Linked DNA regions of Xenopus tropicalis. The protein of the gene in region 2 purifies or fractionates together with the protein of the main gene of each other region. This does not show direct contact. Links are inferred from orthologs where the notes say so. Each region holds a gene or a part of one and is shown on either strand. Other genes may lie near its edges.

Region 1 (6,352 bases), on a different chromosome or scaffold from region 2:
GTGGCAATGAAGACAAATGACCTGCCTATACATTCAAAAGAGCTTGCCTGCAATATAGCAGCAGAGTGCCAAGCAGTACCTTGTGCAAGAGGATTTATGCCATCATGTGGTTATCAGAGTAGCCCCCCCTGACTGGGTGGTCACTGTAGCCATCCATTGCATACTCCACATCCATATCTCCTCCCATTGGTTCTAATGGAATATCTTCAGGGTACATAGCTCGATAATTTTCCATTTCTGCAAAGGTAAAGAACACCATTAGATTCAAATATATATGTACTTTCAGTGATCCATTAATGCTACCTTGGCCCAGAGCTTTAAAAGAGATAAACCCCATTGATGAATATGTCTAAAAAAGCCATATTTTATAGAATTAACTGACTGCACTAGCCTAATGTTTCAGCATCTCTATAGTAGCAATGATATAGGTCACAGGAACTCCCCATCTTGGATTCTGTTAGAACTCTCCAGTATAGTGCATATGCTCAGTGAGTTCTAGCAGAAAATAAGGCTGGTCTGTCATATAAACTGATGGTACAGGGCTGACTATAAAATTATATTGCTAATTGCACGGGTTTCTGGTCTTCAATGAATTCATTATCAGTATTAATTACTAATCAGCCTCGTATAGTGACATTTATATTCTGTATATACAGTATATTGTGGGTGAGTCCCTAAGCTCAGGTAAGTGACAGCAGCACAGAATATGTGCTGGGAATCAGCAGAAAAGAATATGGGGGGGCTACTGGGGCATCTTTGGGGGCACAGATCTTCCCTGCTAAAGGGAATATACAACATTTCTGCCCTACTGCTTTAGTTAGGCTTTAGTTCTCCTTTAACAGAGATAGTGTTATTCTTCTTAAAGCTTTGTTTCCTCACTCAGGGGCTCAAACACATCTGACCCAGTATATCTGGGGTGCCCAAAAGCCCTACACATTTTGTGTAGGACTGCTTACCAATTGGACAGGAGGTTCAAAGTTAACGCTCCTGGATCCCGTCCAATCAGAAAGCAGTTCATGCACATACAGACATTTTTTTGCCAATCACGTTGTGGAAAGTTGTGATAAGATGATCTGGGGGCCCCCAATGCATTACCGCCCCTAGTCCCCTATTTAGTATTAATCCAGCTCTGCCCACAATGAATTTAATGTAAAATGCCATTGTAAGTAACTGCATGTGCATTTTACAACATAAATGGTATTTTGCCGTTCTACAACAATGTTCAGTTCACTTACCATCTGGATAAGGATCATTAAGAGGAATCATGCTCTGCGCCTGAAAATGAAAACACAATTTTGCATGTAATGTGAGTAATAAATTGGTAAGAAGTCACAATTCTGCTGATGAAAAGCCAAAGAAAGAGATGATCCCACAGCAAGTGGGTGGCAAATTATCATTGGGAATAATGATCAGATGTATAGAATCTTTCATTCTCTGCGTTATTGAACCCTGCCAAACTCTAAGGGTTAAATGCAGTGTGCATAAAGGGGATGTAAATGCGCACTTCAGCAGTTTACATACATTTTCCAGGCTTTCAGCAGCTCTCTCTGAACTTTCTATGCACCGGTCGGTTAACTCTAGGGCTGCCAATTCTCAATTAACGTTAAGCTTTCAGTATGTTACAAAATGGATAATTCTAAGCAACTTTTCAATTGGTTATTTATTAATTGATTATTTAATCGTTTTTTAATTATTTGCCTTCTAACTCCTTGCAGCTTTCAAATGGGGGTCACTGACCCCGGCAGCCAGAAAACTATTGCGCTGTGAGGCTCCAGTTTTGTTGTTATAAAAAGTAACTTATTTTACTATTCAGGTCCTCACCTACTCATATACCAGCCTCTCATTCAAATCAATCCCTGGTTGCTAAGGTAATTTTGACCCTAGCTGCTGAAACTCAAAACTAGCGAGTTGCTGAAAAAAACCTACAAATAAAAAATGAAGACCAAATGCAAAGTGTCTGAGAATATTGCACTCGGTCATACTAAAAAAGTTAACACAAAGGTGAATAACCCCCTTAAGCCTCATACAGCTACAAGCTATAGGTCTAAAACCGCAAATATCATAGAAACCACTAAAGCCAGAAAATGAAGTAATGAAGTAACATCAATTCATTTTTTAGGTTTAGATTCCCTTTAAGGCACAAATAGGTCAAAATATTTGCCCAGCTGCACTTTATAGCCTTTTCCCCAGCAAATGCAGAAATAGTGATGCCAAATCCCAGGTACTTACTGCTTCCCAGGCGGCAGGATCCTGTCGGAAGATGGCATTAGTGAGCTCCACGGACACGCGCTTCCTATAATCTGCGTTTTTGTCCTCGGATATGCGGAATAGAACAGCAGCAGCATATGTGGCTAAAATAGAAATTGCATAGTGAATAAAGCAGAATTTCTTCCCCACCTCAACGCCATATGCGATAATGGTATGTGCTTCCAATCCAGGCCAGCTGTTGGCTGTTGAATGCCTCAGACCAGAACTGGGTGCAATAATGTTCCAAGTTCACACAGCTGGTACATAACTGGACACGGTTTTGATCCGTAACAGACTCATCAGAGCTTAGCTTAAGAGTTTATTAACAGTTATTACAGTAGCCTCCATATGTTCATATGTGTGTGTTTCCCCCTCACCTATGCCTTCATTGCGGGAGTGCAGCAATTCCATGAGTGGGGCTGAGGCTCCCTCTGCATCAATGGTGTCTGCCGCTTCTTTATCCTGAGCCAACTCACACAGCACGCCCGCGGCCACTCTCTGAATATTCTCCACAGGGGAATACAGGAGCTGCAATAGAATGGAAACACACTTTATACATACACAGACTTACTGACTTACAACTAAAATCACATTAGTACGTCGTAATTCCATATGAAATTGACATAATCGTATCCCTAGAATGAATACTTAACAAACAGATAGTTTATATCACATTAAGTGGCCTATTAAAGATCTTAGCAAACTGGATTATTATATATCAGTAAGTATTGCCCTTTTACATCTTTCACATTGAACCACCATTTTGTGCTGGGCTGTGTGCTCCCTCAGAGATCAGCTGACAGGAAATAACTAACAGGAAGTAGTGGATCTAGAAGTTAGGAATTATACATGTGTATTTGCCTGGCACACCATAAATGGGGATTGCTGTAAGGGGGTTACCTGTAAATGGGGAACACGGCACTTCTAAAAATGATAAAATAAACAATTTTGTATCATATTAAGCGTAAGAGTGTGTTTCAACCCTTTGTCAGGGGCACATCCATTGGTATTTTTATGCAGGTGCCTCAAATGCATAAAATAAAATTGAAATTGTGGTTTATTTTTGCATATTTTGGAGTGTCCTGTTCCCCTTCTCTTGTGGTCAAAAATATCTGGCGTGCACCAGAACTACTGTACAGGAATCTGACCCCTTATCCGGAAACCCATTATCCAGAAAGTTCCGAATTACGGAAAGGCCGTCTCCCATAGACTCCATTTTAATCAAATAATTCACATTTTTAAAAATGATTGTAAGCTCTTTTGGGCAGGGCTCTCTTCACCTCTTGTATTGGTTATTGATTGCTTTATATGTTACTCTGTATGTCCAATGTATGGAACCCACTTATTGTACAGCGCTGCGGGGTATGTTCCAGGATTCTGGATAATGGGTCGCATACCTGTATTACTCTAACTGACCTCCAAGCTGTACTTCCATGAGTATTTTTTTGTTTAGAGCAAATAAATATTTTCCTCAAATCTGTCCCCAACTGGCCTTCAGGTTTTGCCCCCCAAATCAAGGCTTTAAGCCCCACCTCAGGCGCCTGTCAAAGTTTTGGAACTAATTTTCAGGAAGGGAATGGTTTACAAACAGAGCCAGGAAACAATACCCACAATTCAAAGTAAGGCATATATTAAAATGACGATGTCCAAGATTGATTTCAAACACAAGAGCTAAAATACATTATGCTACTGATATCAAGTGAGTTAATGGAGCCAATTAGCTGCCCTGATGACTAATTAATGAGAGACAGCATCCCCCTAAAGGCTCCCATTACATGAGCACACTGGGAATGCTGGGAATGCCGAGCATATAAATGACCTCTAGTTGCACTGGAAGCAGAGGAGCCCATTAGGCTTGCACCTTGGCTAACAGAAAGGGTCGTGGCCCTGGGGGTTAAGGTATGTGGAACTCACATCAAGCTAAAGCCATTACTGTGGGACTGAGATCCAAATCTGACGAGTCAGCAGAACTCTGAAAGCAGGTAGGAACGCTACAGCGCCAACGGCTTGGTTCTGCGCCATTAGGAATACACATCCTCCTTTATATTAACTCTTTCCAGGATATATAAGCCTCTGCTTATACAGATCATTTTTGTTATACATCACATATCTACTGGTTATTTCCAGAGATCACAAGTCCCCTATGATATAATGCAAAATCCCACAGAAATTGGGCCAAAGCCTGTGATCCTCAGTATAAGTATAGTATTCACACACACACATTATATTACAATATATATTTTAGATAGATGATAGGTAGATGATATTATATAATATAGACAGACAGACAGACAATAGATAGATAGATAGATAGATAGATAGATAGATAGATAGATAGATAGAAACTACCTGTTGGTGAAGTATTAGTTTTGGGGGGTATAGTTTTCCTTTAAGTACCTAAACCTTCATGATGAAGGGTAATTTGTAATCTTCATATTTAGGCAAAAATTGCTTTATGGAGCTCAAGAAATAAGAAATTTAACATTCTTGTTTCACACTGGAATCATTAAATTTGAATGGCCGGCTACATTTTCCAATAGAACAAACAATTGCGGGTCAGGAAAAAGCTCATGTTCTGCAGAGCAGGAAGTGAAGGGGAAAAGCCTATAAAGGAAACTGGCTTCCCTTACAGCATTGTATCCCTTGTTTGTGTGTTTAGGAGAAAGAATTCAGTTATAAAGTTCTGTTCATGGTGAAGAACTTTCATTTGTCACATGACACTGTGTGTATTTTAGCTAGGTCTAATCTATTTTATGATTTATTAATTAACAAACAAACAAACAAAGAGCAGGTAATGTCATTCCTTCTACAGCCAGCATGACTTTAACCCTTTATTTGCCGAGCACAAGCAGGATCACAGCAAGAGCTCTGACTAAAATAAAGGTGATCATTTACCATACAAAAGCTTAAGGCAGTGGTTTCCAGATTCTGGGGCAGTCCCCCTTCCCAAACTGGAATGAACTTTGAAGGTCAGTTCTTCTATACTACCCTCCCTTATATTATTATTAATACACTGCTATAAACTACGGGAGGGAGACCAAATGTTTAAACAGGGAGAAATAAATAAATATATAAATCTTTCTTCCTCCCAGGTGTCCCCTACGTGACTTATAGTTGGGAGCATGGGAAATGTGTAGTTCTGGAGAAAGTTCTGTACTGCTAATGTATGCCCAAGCCCAAAGGGGGTCTCACCTGAAAGACCAGAAGAACACGGTGGTGCTCATTTAACAGTACCCAAGGTTGGTGCTTTTTTTTTAAAGAAGAGCAGCGCCAGCCTAGGGTAACAGATACACAACTAGAATAAAAGAGGGAGTGTCTAGACAACTACCACTGATACCTTTACCTTTCCTTCTCCTTTAGAGAAGAACCATAAGGCTGGAGTTTTAGAGAAAGTTCTGTACTGCTAATGTATGCCACACAGGGCTGATTCTAAGGCAGCAGATAAATGCAGGGTGAGGATAAACTCCTACGCTGGCATCAGCCTTTCCCTGTGCCGGCACCTGGAGCAATTGCATTGGCCCGTGTGAGAGCATACTCACGTGCTTCTGTGCCAAAATCCACTCTGCGTGCCTGAACCCAGGCCAACACAATGGCTCCAGGTGCAGAGAAAGGCTAATGCCAGTGTAGGGACTGATTCTTGGCTTGCGTTTAGCCTAAGAGTCTGTAGACATCTGCTTAAGGACCATAGCACACAAGTGGCGAGTTGTCGTTGCAAAATGTGACAGTACTTACACCAAATAGCTTCTCCCTCACCAGGTGCAGTGTCCATGCTCTGTGTGGTTTTTTTTTAGCAATGAGCCATTGTCTATATGCACCAGAACTCACCTGTACAAACAGCGGGATGGTGTTTAGCTTGTAGATGTCCATACGGTTCACAGGATCCCTGGCAAGAATATGCAGAGCCCCAGTGCAACCTTCCACAATCTCTTCCATCTTCACTCCATCCTACAGAATAGGAAAATCAGTATTCTAGACAATTCAAAAACAAACTCTATTCTGAGAACATTTATGTCATAGACACCATATGTCAGAGAGAATGCCATCTAGTAAATGTCAGATCCACAGGGAAATTGATAACCTGTTGGCCGGTAGCAGTTCAGTCCTA
Region 2 (6,352 bases):
TTTAAAGGGGTTGTTCACCTTTTAGCTAACATTTAGTATGATGTAAAGAGTAATATTCTAAGACAGTTTGCCATTGTTTTTCATTTTATTATTTGTGGTTTTTTAATTATTTCAGCAGTTACCTGGTTGCTAGGGTTCAAATTATCTTAGCAACCAGGCAATGGTTTGAATGAGAGACTGGTATGTGAATAGGAGAGAACCTGAATAGAAAAATAATTAATTAAAAAGTAACAATAATGATAAAACTGTAGCCTCGCAGAGCAATAGATTATTTGGCTGCTGGGGTCAATGGGGCTTATTTATCAACACTGGGCAAAATTGATAGTTAAGGCAAATTGCCAAATTCATTGTGTACCCTGGTTAGAGGAAGAGACATTATTAACTTTGAGAAAGGGTTCATGGGTGACCATATTTGATGGAGGATAGCTGGTGCTTTATGAGGAACAGTGGTTAAGAATACATTGTAACTGAATCTGAGGGAAAGAAACAGTCAACTGGGGGTAAGTGGCAATTAAAGACTGCGTTTTTAAAATATTCCTTCTTTGGTTTAACACACCAAGTCAGGATTTCAAAATTAAGCAACCTCAAACACAGCTAGTGGATGTGGAAATACATAAAAATGGCTAAGAACATGGATGCATTCAGGCACATTTATAGACGGTCCATACTTTAGTGTAAAATATTTTACAGTTCTTTTGGTTTGTGCAGTGGTAGAGCATGATTCATAAATAGACATCACGGTAGGGGAGACATGACATGATCAACATGCACCTCTGGCTTGTGCCTTATATACAAAGTGAATGACTAGGCTATGTACTACAAGAAGCACTGAAAATGCCACTTACCGTATATACTCGAGTATAAGCCGAGTTTTTGAGCACTAATAATGTGCTCAAAAAGGCACCCTCGGCTAATACTCGAGTATATACGGTAGTTACGTTCTCTCGGCCGTGCACTCGCTCACACCGCCCGCCCCTGGACATATGTTTGCACTCGCACCCCCCCCCTTCCCGTGGACGTATGTTTGTGCTCGCTCACAGCCAACCCCCACCGGGGACGTTCGGTTACTGTGGAGGAAGCATGGCCATCCAGCATCATCTATACCAGAGGACCACCAACTTTGTTAATCAATGAATCACATACAAAACATTTTACTCGCAGCCAACCCCCAACCCCACCCGGGACGTTCGGTTACTGCGGCATCATCCGGCATCGCCAGACAGTCAATAGCGCATAGCGAATGCATGCACGCATCCAGCACCGGGCATCCATCACTCGCACGTGGCGTGTGTGCGCGGCGGATGCCCGGTGCTGGATGCGTCCGCGCCCAATGGCTGGAAAGGTGCTGGATCACTGAAATAGAGTAAGTTAACTGAGTACTTAACAGCAAGACTTGGGGGAATTCTTCAACAGCACACTGTTGCAGTGAGAGGTGGACAGAACCCAGACACGCATTTGTAAGGGTCATCCCACTGCCTCCTTTTCTCCACAACCTCTACTCCACAGCAGAGCGTTTACTACTCTTCTTCTCTATGGGGTGACAGACAATTTGACTGAAGGGCCGGGTTTGGCAGCTTAAAGCAAGGGTAAAGCAAGTGAGTGCATAATAACACAAGGTTATTTATTACTTACAGTTGCTATGCCAACAGCCAATTAATCAGGAGGAGCAGTGATGTTCTATGGAATTGCCTGTCCAAATCCAACCATAGAATTGGGCAACTCCAAAAGCACTTCTGTCTGTTTACCCTTATTACATTAAACAACTACATCTAAAATTCTTTTCTCACTAGTAACTGTCACTGAGTATAGGATAACGTGTGCACTGCTTTCCAATTTTTTCCCCCTTCTTCAAGTGCTAAAAACAGACACTGATCTAAAGTCTTTGCATTACCAGGGCTAATTAAATACAATAATGTTGCACAAACTGAGGTGGCTTACCACAAGCCAGTTTTCTTATGGCCGGTCATTTTGAGTGTTTGAGAGACTGTATATACTGTATGTTGTTTTGCCAAACTCAAGGGTGGTTCTGGATGCTTCTCAGCTGGCCGAAATACACAGGTGGAGAAAATGCCCAATTTATTTATCTATTTTATTAATATATTATTTTTTCATCTGCAATGTTTTCTCTATCTTCCATGATGATGATAGCGTTTTGTGCAGGTGTGTTAAAAGAAATGGATGCCTAGGCTTATACTCGAGTCAATAAGTTTTTCCAGTTTTCTTAGGTAAAATTAGGTACCTCGGCTTATATTCGGATCGGCTTATACTCGAGTATATACGGTAGCTAAGGTGAGTCAACAGTAATAAGATTCCCAGATGGGAACAGCAGGCCAGCTAGTTACCAGTCCAGTCATTTTCGACCCCATGAGCTCCTAGCCCAACATAATCACTATAAGTGCCAACAAGCTTATTTACCTGATCATTTGGTATTAGAGCTAACCTAACAGAATTTAAAGCAATCTGAGCAACTTTGCCCTTATGTATGGCCATTCTACACACAATCAGGCCCCAGCCTGTACAAGCAGGCAAAGACATACTTGGCCATATAAGGCCAGCTTAATTATAATTTAACGTTATGCAATAAGGTATTGTTTTAAAGCACTACACAACAGTATAGTGCAAATAAATAACATTTTGATTACTAAATAAATCTAGTTAACCAATTGCTTTCTTTTTTAATCTTTATTACCAATAGTTGTCACAATATTGGCAGTTCTAAGGAGGATGCAGAAGAAAAATACCAACATCTTAGGGAAAAACACAGCAGAGATTCATGAGCAACTGGTCACCTATGATGAGGAAGGCGGTGGAGAAATGGACACAAACAGTTATGACGTATCTGTATTGAATTCTGTGCGCAGAAATGTTCAAAGGCCAAGGCAAGAAATGGAGGCAAGTCCCTATCTGTACGCCCATGTCCAAAAACCAACAAGAAATGGAGACATGTCTTTCATGATTGAAGTGAAGAAGGATGAAGCAGACAATGATGGGGAAGGATTACCATATGACACCCTTCACATATTTGGGTACGAAGAGTCAGAATCTATTGTGGAGTCACTCAGCTCTATAGAATCTGGGTCTTCAGAATCAGATATAGACTATGATGTATTAAATAACTGGGGCCCTAGATTTAAGATGCTAGCTGATCTTTACGGTCTGGAACCAATTGAAGACTTTCCTTATTAGTGCAGTACTAGGAAACAGTAAAATCTTAGATCATTTTCAATCTAGTGCCTAAATCAACATTCCAATTTACTTGGCAGTAGAGGAGTGACTGGACAGGGGTGGTTCTGGGGCTGTTGCTGCATTGGATGTCACACCCCCTTAACTCTTTGGCACTGGAGCAGGTCAAGGGGTTACCAAATAGCTGCACTTGTAAGAGCCCATTTTCCATTTTAAAAAAATGGAAATTTGGCTCTTAAAGTTACTAGAGGTTGCTTTTTGCCACCCCTGGTAACTGACCACTCACTGCCACCTGCTTCATGGCAGGATGAGCCATGTAACTGGAAATTACTGGAAAATCTTCCATATTCCCTTTTAAACTGTGCCTCAGTCAAGTCCCTCTTTTTTCTTCCCCCCTGCAACTTATGGGTCTGTTGTCACATTATTGCACATCAGCCTGTCCCCCGTTTTGTTTTTATTTTGTATTTGATTAAAAAGACATGAGCATGCCCTGAGAAAGTTTGAGACCAAAACTAAATTACCCGAATAAGAAGGGAATAAATAACTAATCACCTCCATGAATCAAATTAAGCAGAATTTATAGTTAATGTTTTTACATGGCTTTCAGATAAATCAGTCGGCTGGTAGTGCTATTCATAACCCGCTGAAGAGAAATGTCTGCCAGTGAAGGTGTTAAGCGTCATTAATCTCTATCCACCTTTAAAAAACACTGAATAAAAATAATTGTAATAATCTTTTTGCATGTAAATGGCTGTCACAAATTTTCTCACTTGCTTTAAGCAATTTTTCATTTTAGGACTACTATTAACACTATATATTAATCTGTCCTTCCTCAGGGATACATTTGTAAATAATTACTTGAAATTAGATTCTTCTAATCAGTTGGCCCTGACATTTAATTGGTGCTGTAAGAATAAGACACACCAGCTTAATGTAATTGCATCCTTTCTGGGTAACATTGAATTAGAAGTGCTAGGTTTTACATGGTGTGAATAAAATATTTTCTCATTTTCAGATTCATTGGCACAAATAACATCATCATTTGTAATATTTCTCACTAACAGTAACTCATGTTTTCTTTTTTTTTTTTTACAAACATGAATTTAGCATTAGTAGTATTTTTGTGTTGTCTGTAATTTGTACTGTCCCCATTTGGCTTTTGTTGTGGGTTTTTGTATGATGTATGATGCCTATTTGCATTTGTACAGGGCACTTGGGTCTGTATACAAATTTGTATTAAAATGAAAAAAAAAACACAACCATTGAATTTTTTTTATATTCATTTTAAAATGTAGTAATAAACTACTGAGACATGAAACAAAGAGTTTGTCTGATTTGATTTTTAAGTCCTAATACACCCTGTTTACTTTTTTCTCTTCTAAGAAACATATGGGCATGAGTCCTTATTTTTCTGCATGAATGGATTCAAGAACTTAAGTTGCCATATGGCCTCTTCTAATGAATACCTCTAGTGACAAAAAGATGGTACAGTACATTCATTTATTAAACAAATACATTTACTAAGTGTCTCTATAATATACAGTATGAATATCCCTGTTGTACTCAAGGAGAGAAGCCATAAACAAATACTATTAGTTTCCAAAATGACAAGTATGGATCTTCACAGGAAGGCCGGTGAGGTTGTGGAATACCCTGGTGGATTAAGTTGTGATGGCAGATTCTATTAATGCCTTTAAGACTTTAAGGCTTGGATGATTTCTTGGACAAGTGTGTGTGTTGTTACACTTTCTTTATTAACACATTGTATATATATATATATACTGTATATATACTGTACGTATAAGTTGTATATAAATAAAGATATATATACAAGAATTTCAACCTCTTCAAATGACCGTTAACATAATATTACTATAACTGCTTAGTATAATGTTCCTTTTAAAGGAAAAAAAGAAAAAAGCAGAGTATACACTAATACAGGGGTCCCCAACCTTTCTTACTTGTGAGCCACAGTCAAATGTAAAAAGACTTGGAGAGCAACACAAGCATCATAAAAGTTCATGGAGGTGCCAAATAAGGGCTAAGATTAGCTATTAGGTAGCCTCTATGCACACTATCAGCTTACAGGGGGCTTTATTTGGTAATAAATATTGTTTTTATTCAACCAAAACTTGCTACAAAGTCAGAAATTAAAAAATAACTACCTGGTTTGGGGGCACTGAGAGCAACATCCAAGGGGGTGGGGAGCAACATGTTGCCCCAGAGCTACTGGTTGGGGATCACTGCACTAATACAATGTATCTGTCAATGGAGCTCATGCAATTGAAATCAGTTTTTGTATTCCCCATTTAGCACTGCTGGTTCAGACTCTTGAAACAATGTAGCAGGTGACAAAAAGTCAGGTAATTTTAAGGATTTGGATTTGGTTCGGGCAGACACATGGATTCAGCCGAATCCTGCTGAAAAACGCCAAATCTTGGTCGAATCCCAAAACAAATTCTGGATTCGGTGCATCCCTAATTCAAACCCATTTCATTTTATGAAACACATAGGCCCCTTGTCACTCATAAAAAAAAATATTTTATTTTGCTTTTTAGAGCCAGCAATAATGTGTCCCAATACAGTTTAACACCCAGTACCCCTATGATGGCTGCTTTCATACAATACATACATAACGTATATAATCAAACTAGTTGGATTTTCATGCTTTCATGGATTTTCAACTAATTATCAAATCAAAGACAGTTGTTAGTGTCCTGTGCTCTCATCTGCTCTGCTATAATCAGCATAAATTAAGTGACTGCAAAATTGTATTTATGATGGATCAGGGTGAATTTTCAAAACAGTCATGCTACATAAAGTTTACTTTTCTTTACTTGAAATGGAACTTCAAGATTTCGAGAGCATAATTTTCAGGTTGCAACCAAGCAAGGAAAAGCAATTAACAGATGGTGCTAATATACTGATTGGGGTTTAAATCAAATCTGACTGGCAGCCATCTGAGAAGAAATCATGTTACTATATTTTAATAATGTTATTCTCATACATCAACACTTGATGGCAGTGTGTTCCTCCATCAAACACTTTCCTCATACTCTTTTGTTCTTTAATTTATAATAGTTCCAAATGTCTAAGTAATGTTTCTTTGTGTTTCCTAACAGTTGTAGTAGTTCTGTACTGTATTTAAATGATTAAATATAACAACTGT
Region 3 (6,352 bases), on a different chromosome or scaffold from region 2:
AAACATACAATATTTATGAAAGTGGTCACAAACCTAGAGCTCAGGGAAAACACCGTTTAATTACAAATTAATACCCATATAAAAACACACATAAATGACCACATAATGACGATAATCTCCACGTTACTATTAAAAATACCTGTGGCTCACTGCAGTGCACTACCCGATATACTAGCTCTATCTTATTATGAGTAGATTTTAACTAAACCCAGAGATCCTCACTAAAGGAGCCATTTACGGTCAGATTTTTTTTTTCAGATTTGTATTTTTAGCACTAAAAGTTGTAGGAAAAAAAAAGAGTTTATTTGAATTTTGAAAGAAAAAATGTGAAATGTATTCGTTATGTTAGTAAACTGGTTGTGTATTGCTGGAAGTTTTTGACCTACAGAAGTCATAAATCATATCAAAGTGTAAGATTCTATTATATGTAATTGTTATATTTGTTACAAAGTATACATATTTGGCAATGGCGTGTTTGGAAGACATGGTACAAGTTTAAAAACTGGCAATTAAAGTACCACAAGTGACCAGTGAAAGGGTTAAATCTTAGCCTGCCCAGTTGATGTGCGGGCCTAAACAAAACATCCAAAGTAAGTACTTTTTCAATAAGCACATGCTTGAGGAAGCATAACCCCATATCACTACTACACTAGCAATTAGTCTAGAATGTGACAGTGTCTGGCAACCCGGCCTTTTTATCCCAAAACAATTTTCCAAGCCACAAGATTAGGGGGGTAGCGGGTCCAATGACAACAGCTGCTTAGAGAGAACAACTGGCCATGTGAAAGGGAATACAGGGTAAAGCCACAGTTAACAACTCGACACGCAAACATTTTTGTTTTTTTCTGGGGGATAAAGGAAAAGGGACAGGAAGAACTTTTACCATACAGGATTTAGTATTAACTATGCCATTTATAAAATACAGGGACACTTACCCTGTTTCCGAACATCTTCAACTGCTGCAATGAGTTCCTCTTTAAGAAACTGGCTCTCTTTTGCTATTTTGTCTCCTTTATCTAAAAAATTTTGGGTTGCTTGCTCCACTGATGCAGCCAAAACATGAGCTTTCTTTGAACGTCCTTTCTTCTTATTGGAGGGTCCTTTATTGCTACTATTCACCAAAGTGGTCACCTTAATATAGATAAATAGCAATTTGTGAGCAAACATCAAATTTAATATGCCTCCTAGTGCCTGGGAGTAAAAATTCCCTGATAAAATTAACGTAAAGGTGGCCATACACAGTAAGATTTTGTTGTAAAGAAGTATTGATCATATTAATGAATGTTATTCATTGACTGTATTGTTGAAACAACTGTGATAACTTGTTCTTTATATGAATTTGTGCATGCATTTCTTTTGTTGTAAAATTGCAATTTCTGCCTTTAATGCTTCTGCTATTTGTTGATAGCAAAAGCTTAGAATTTGTCATTCTGTTAACCCTCTTGACACTGGCAATCATAGCACTGCTGTAAAACCATGACATTAGCACTGCAGAACTGGTAATATAGAAAGTAACAAGACTAAAGTCAGATTAATTGCACCTTTCATTTAGACCAACTGATTAAATGACTGAACAGCAGGGAGTAAATCACAGCTGCAGCTCTTCACTTCCTTTTGATCGACCATTGAAGTTGTTTCCATCAAGAACAGAAAAACTCAATCTATGAGTACAGCAGGATTATCAGCTTGAACATCCATCTGACTTTCCACATATGCCCAGATGGTCAGGCATGACTGATATCAGCCAAAATAATAATTCTAGACATGCATGGCCAGAGTTCTTCCTTGGTGCCATGAAGGAGGAAGTAGCCTGAAGCCAGACATTCAGTCCACATTAACAGACTGCTTTCCTAGACTAATAACTTCAGGAGAGGTGTCTCCACCGTGCTCTCCAGCTTCTGAGCCCTTCTGGGTAAGTTAACAGGTCCAGCACAGTATAGGATAATGTACCATCTACAGAAATTCCACCAACCCATACTTAACGCCTTTTCAGTTTAAACTGCCTTATGAATTATAATAAGGGGGTATATTATCCTCCATAGTGTACTCAAATACAATACAGAGGATAACATACAACTGTCTAATATAAAAAAAAGATAATTTACTTACCTGAGTTACTAAAGGCTCAAGAAGTCTCTCAACAGCTAGTGTTCTTATTTCCAAGCTTTTTGGATCCCATTTGAAATTTATGTTTCCTGTATTAAGCGTCATGTCTGGGGAGAAAGGAAAAAAAAAAAATTCTGCATCAGTTGATAGGACATGGAAAGACTGAATTCAAGTAGAATGCTTGGCAGAATGGCTAGCACTTATTAATAAAATGGTTCCTCTACCAGAGGCTGTTAGCTGAAATTTCAAACTATATGGGCTCCTTGGTTAGATGCTAATCCAACACTTCTACTGGACAAAAGTGTGGCTCTCCCAACCTGTCAGGCCTGTATTATTAATGGATATGACCGTTATACTGTGATGCCAGTAAAGTGGTCCTCTTTTTTCTCTTAACTTGAACAACATGCTAGAATGTATTTCATCTTGACTGCTTTTGAACGTTCATTTTTGTTTTATAAAACAAACATTTAAACATACATACAACTTAAAATCAAAAAATCCTAAAGACACATCAGGTGCTCTCAACTGTCTGCATAGACCAAATCGGCTATAGCAGTTTGGCAACCTCACCAAACAAGAGGCTCTTTTCATTTCTCTCTCAGAAACAGAATTATAAACAATGTATTATACAATGTATAAGGAACAGTAACACCAACAAATTAAAGAGTTTTAAACTAAATGAAATATAATGTACTGTTGCCCTGCACTGGGAAAAGTTGTATGTTTGCTACAGTAACTCTACTATAGTTTATATAAATAAGCTGCTGTGTAGCCCTGGGGGCAGACATTCAAGCTGGAAAAAAAGGAGAAAAGGCCCCAGTTGTACCAGTGCAGAGCAGCAGTACATTATATTGGAATTTCTTTTATACACTTGAATTTTTTGGTGTTACTGTTCCTTTAAGCTACTGAGGTTACTAGCTGGCAATGTTTTAAACGGGACTAACTTTAATTGCGGAAGAGGGGCACAGTTAGGTATTGGGCGTGGAGGGCGGCAGGAAGAGCTTGGCCCAAACCCGCCTGTGACCCAAATATGTTGTGCGACTGTCGGCCCAAACTTGTGGCTTTCAGGCCAGCCCGCACATCACTATTGCACATCCAGCAACAATAGCCTGGGTGCTGGTAAATAAACCATATAGAAGAATGTAAAAGAACACTCACAGGATTTAATTATGAAACTGAGCCAAAAATATCCTCAAATACATTTTAATAGAGTTTAATAGATTCTGTTGTTTTTATATTGATTCCTTGGTTATTTTGCACACACACAGAATATGGGAAGAACCACATTCAAATATATATGCAAATTTCCTTTAAAAAGGAAACCAGTAAGCACCAAATTATGGGAAGACCATCTTACAAGCAGCACATTTTAGGCATATAATTTTAATTTTTAAATATTTTCTTCCTCTGTAATAAGTACAGTAATAAATACAGTACCTTGCACTTGATCCAAGCTTCCTAACTCCATATTTTCATTTCACATTGTATTATTTCACACAACAAATTCAAAAGGAGCAAATTCAATTTCACACAACTGATTGCTGCTCAAAAACAAGCAGTTGGCAATCTTGCCAAGTTGAAAACCCTGTCACTCGTCCAAACGATCAAATTAGCCTGGATTCTCCCGATATCGCCCACCCGTAGGCGGGGGATATCGGTAGAAGATCCACTCGTTTGGGGACATCACCAAGCAAGTGGATCTGAAGGTGTATGAGCGATTCTATTTGAGCGATTCTATTTCCCACAAATCCAGGTGTCATATTCCCCACCCACAATTAGAAATGACATTCAGGGCAATGGGGAAATCACAGCGACTTTGTGCTCAGTGGGTTTTACTTTCAGCGATTCCAATAGATTTGAATGACAATGCTTTCTTTGTAAAATCACTCGAAAAAGGGTCTCATAGCAATTCGGAGCAATAAGCGATTTGAAGTATCATCAGTTTAGGTACTGGCAATTTATATTCGAGGAAGTAAGCGATTTTCTAACATTTTATATATAATTTGAATTCACATTCTTGATTACATAGAAATGAGAATTTAATGAGATATGTTGATGGTATGTATTTGCAATAATAGCCTTTTCATTGAGCTGTCATTGTATTTTGACTTTTTCTTTATTCATAACCAAACAAATCATCTTCTCTAGTACCTCCTTTTATCTAGGAGGCCAACAACTACTTTTTGTTCACAAAACATGTCCCCACCTACAACAGTACACAGAACTAGACCTCTGACCAATCAGATCTTTCCGTACCTCAGGCAATACAATTCCAACAAACATGCACCTGGTTTTCAAAGGGGCTGAGCTTCAATTTGCCATCAGTTTACTCAAACCACATCTGCCTTATGATGCTTTGGAATGGTGGAATCTCGTAACTTCTCATCTATGCACTGTAACAATGTAGAAAATATACCTAGGGGTTTTACATAGGTGCTAGACTTGGTTATGTGGTCCTTGCAAACCTGAAGCACAACAGGTTTTGTTTTTAAACTCTTACAACCAGTGCCACCCTCTATTTAAATAGATATAATGTGTTTGGAGAAATGAACGCAGTCTTGCCTCTCAAATATCTAAAAAGGGTTGATTTGACAACATTGCGTCAACATACTGTATAGGAATTGTATTGTCTGCAGCTTGTCAGCTTCTAGCCAGCCATTACGCATCTTACAACTGAATACTGCTTTAGAGGACTGGTCAGGATGTACACAACTTTTTGCAAAATTATACTGAAAAATAAGGCCCCACATTAAAGGAGACGTATTGGATAAATTGGAAAAATGCTAATTTTGTAGGCAATTATGAATAATATACGGTGCTGGTTTCCCTTTGTGCTAAACATTAATCCTATCTGTAACAATGGCCCCTTTATTGGAGCTCCCTATAGATCCTATCATTTCTCCGTCCAGTGTGAAATGGAGTGGGCGTGTCCTAGCGGTCCCTGCCAGAAGCACAGTAGGAGGGGGAGAGCCAATCACAGCCCTGCACTCACACAAGCAAAGACCAGCTTCAGTTCCCTATCAGGTCAGCCTAGCTGCTGATTGGTTCCTATCCTACAGTGCCGCCGGCTCCCCAGCTCATCCAGAGAATTCAGCCAGCAGGAAGTGGAATAGATGGGCGGGGCTAGTGGGGTTTTTGTGGAATTTCTCAATAAATCAGTCAGAAACACAGCATTTTTAAGCACATTCCTTCTATATCTAGAGGAGTATAATTCACTGGTACATTCATAATTTTTATAGGATATGTCTCCTTTAAGCATATTTTTATTATTTGAAGTAAGATTTTCCAGTGATCTACTTTTACTTAAATTTTTGCAACAGGGTCTTCTATCATTCACATTAAGGTTGTCACCAAGTCATTGTCCAAGTAACTATACCAAGTCATTCTGTAACTTCTGTTCATAACAATTCTACTATGCAGATACCAGGAAACATCAGAATGGTAATAGTTTCACACAGGCCCGCTTGTTTGCCCCTATGCCAGCAATTGGAACTCCCTAGTTTGGCTGGGGTGCAGGGGTGACCAAATTGGGCAAAGATCCTCTCAGCTGGTGACCTTGCCAAAGAAGTGTATCTTAAAAAGTGTATGGCCAACTTAGTGCTTACTGTTACATGTTGCAGTATAAAGGTGGCCATACACAGGCAGATTTTAGCTGCTGATTTAGGTCCTTCAGATCGATTTAGCAGCTTTTCGGCCCATGCATGGGCACCCCTGACAGGCCTACCAGACCAAGATCTGACCTAAAATTGGGCAGATTTTGATCGGGCAGGTTTGATTTTCCGTCGCATTGGGGACAGCATCGGCTCCTTGATGCAGTCCCCGATCTGGCGGCGCCTATGTACGCAGTTGCTGAATTAGTGCAATATCGCCCACCTTTAGGTGAGCATATTGGGAGAAGATCCGCTCAATTGGCAACTGAGCGAATCTACTAGTGTATGGACACCTTTAGGCTGATGTCCTGTGGAGAGATTTAGTAGCCCGCAATAGATCTCTGCCAGTGTCGGACTGGGACCCCAGGGGCCCATCAGAAAAGCTTAGACCCGCTTTCCAAACTATTTTTCCTCCTTTCTTTACCCAACCTCTTTATTTTCCCAGTCTCTTTTATTTACATGCTAGCATCTATTCTTCCCTCTATTTCTCCTCTTTCTTCCCATTCAGAAATAGGGAATGAGCATGAAACAGGCCAAATGGTTAGGAGCAAGAGGGCCCACTTACACCTGGGCCCACTGGGAGTTTTTCTGGTATC

What was found. Proteins that work in one complex are often made in the same cells at the same time.
Region 1: the proteins of cdh5 (region 2) and jup purify together in Homo sapiens (affinity purification with western blotting; 3 studies listed by BioGRID and IntAct, with this or other methods). This does not show direct contact. The link is inferred for Xenopus tropicalis from reciprocal best matches to the Homo sapiens genes CDH5 and JUP.
Region 3: the proteins of cdh5 (region 2) and ctnna1 purify together in Homo sapiens (affinity purification with western blotting; 4 studies listed by BioGRID and IntAct, counting the BioPlex papers as one, with this or other methods). This does not show direct contact. The link is inferred for Xenopus tropicalis from reciprocal best matches to the Homo sapiens genes CDH5 and CTNNA1.

What each region holds. Positions count from the first base shown.
Region 1 is NC_030686.2:7,415,413-7,421,764, reverse strand, and holds part of jup (junction plakoglobin), read right to left. Parts: intron 6,193-6,352; coding exon 6,073-6,192; intron 2,776-6,072; coding exon 2,625-2,775; intron 2,352-2,624; coding exon 2,230-2,351; intron 1,276-2,229; coding exon 1,236-1,275; intron 238-1,235; coding exon 95-237; 3' UTR 80-94; intron 1-79. UniProt on the Homo sapiens protein: Common junctional plaque protein. The membrane-associated plaques are architectural elements in an important strategic position to influence the arrangement and function of both the cytoskeleton and the cells within the tissue.
Region 2 is NC_030680.2:57,853,568-57,859,919, forward strand, and holds the end of cdh5 (cadherin-5), read left to right. Parts: intron 1-2,695; coding exon 2,696-3,186; 3' UTR 3,187-4,505; downstream 4,506-6,352. UniProt on the Homo sapiens protein: Cadherins are calcium-dependent cell adhesion proteins. They preferentially interact with themselves in a homophilic manner in connecting cells; cadherins may thus contribute to the sorting of heterogeneous cell types.
Region 3 is NC_030679.2:19,993,766-20,000,117, reverse strand, and holds part of ctnna1 (catenin alpha-1), read right to left. Parts: intron 2,214-6,352; 5' UTR 2,212-2,213; coding exon 2,110-2,211; intron 1,132-2,109; coding exon 936-1,131; intron 1-935. UniProt on the Homo sapiens protein: Associates with the cytoplasmic domain of a variety of cadherins. The association of catenins to cadherins produces a complex which is linked to the actin filament network, and which seems to be of primary importance for cadherins cell-adhesion properties.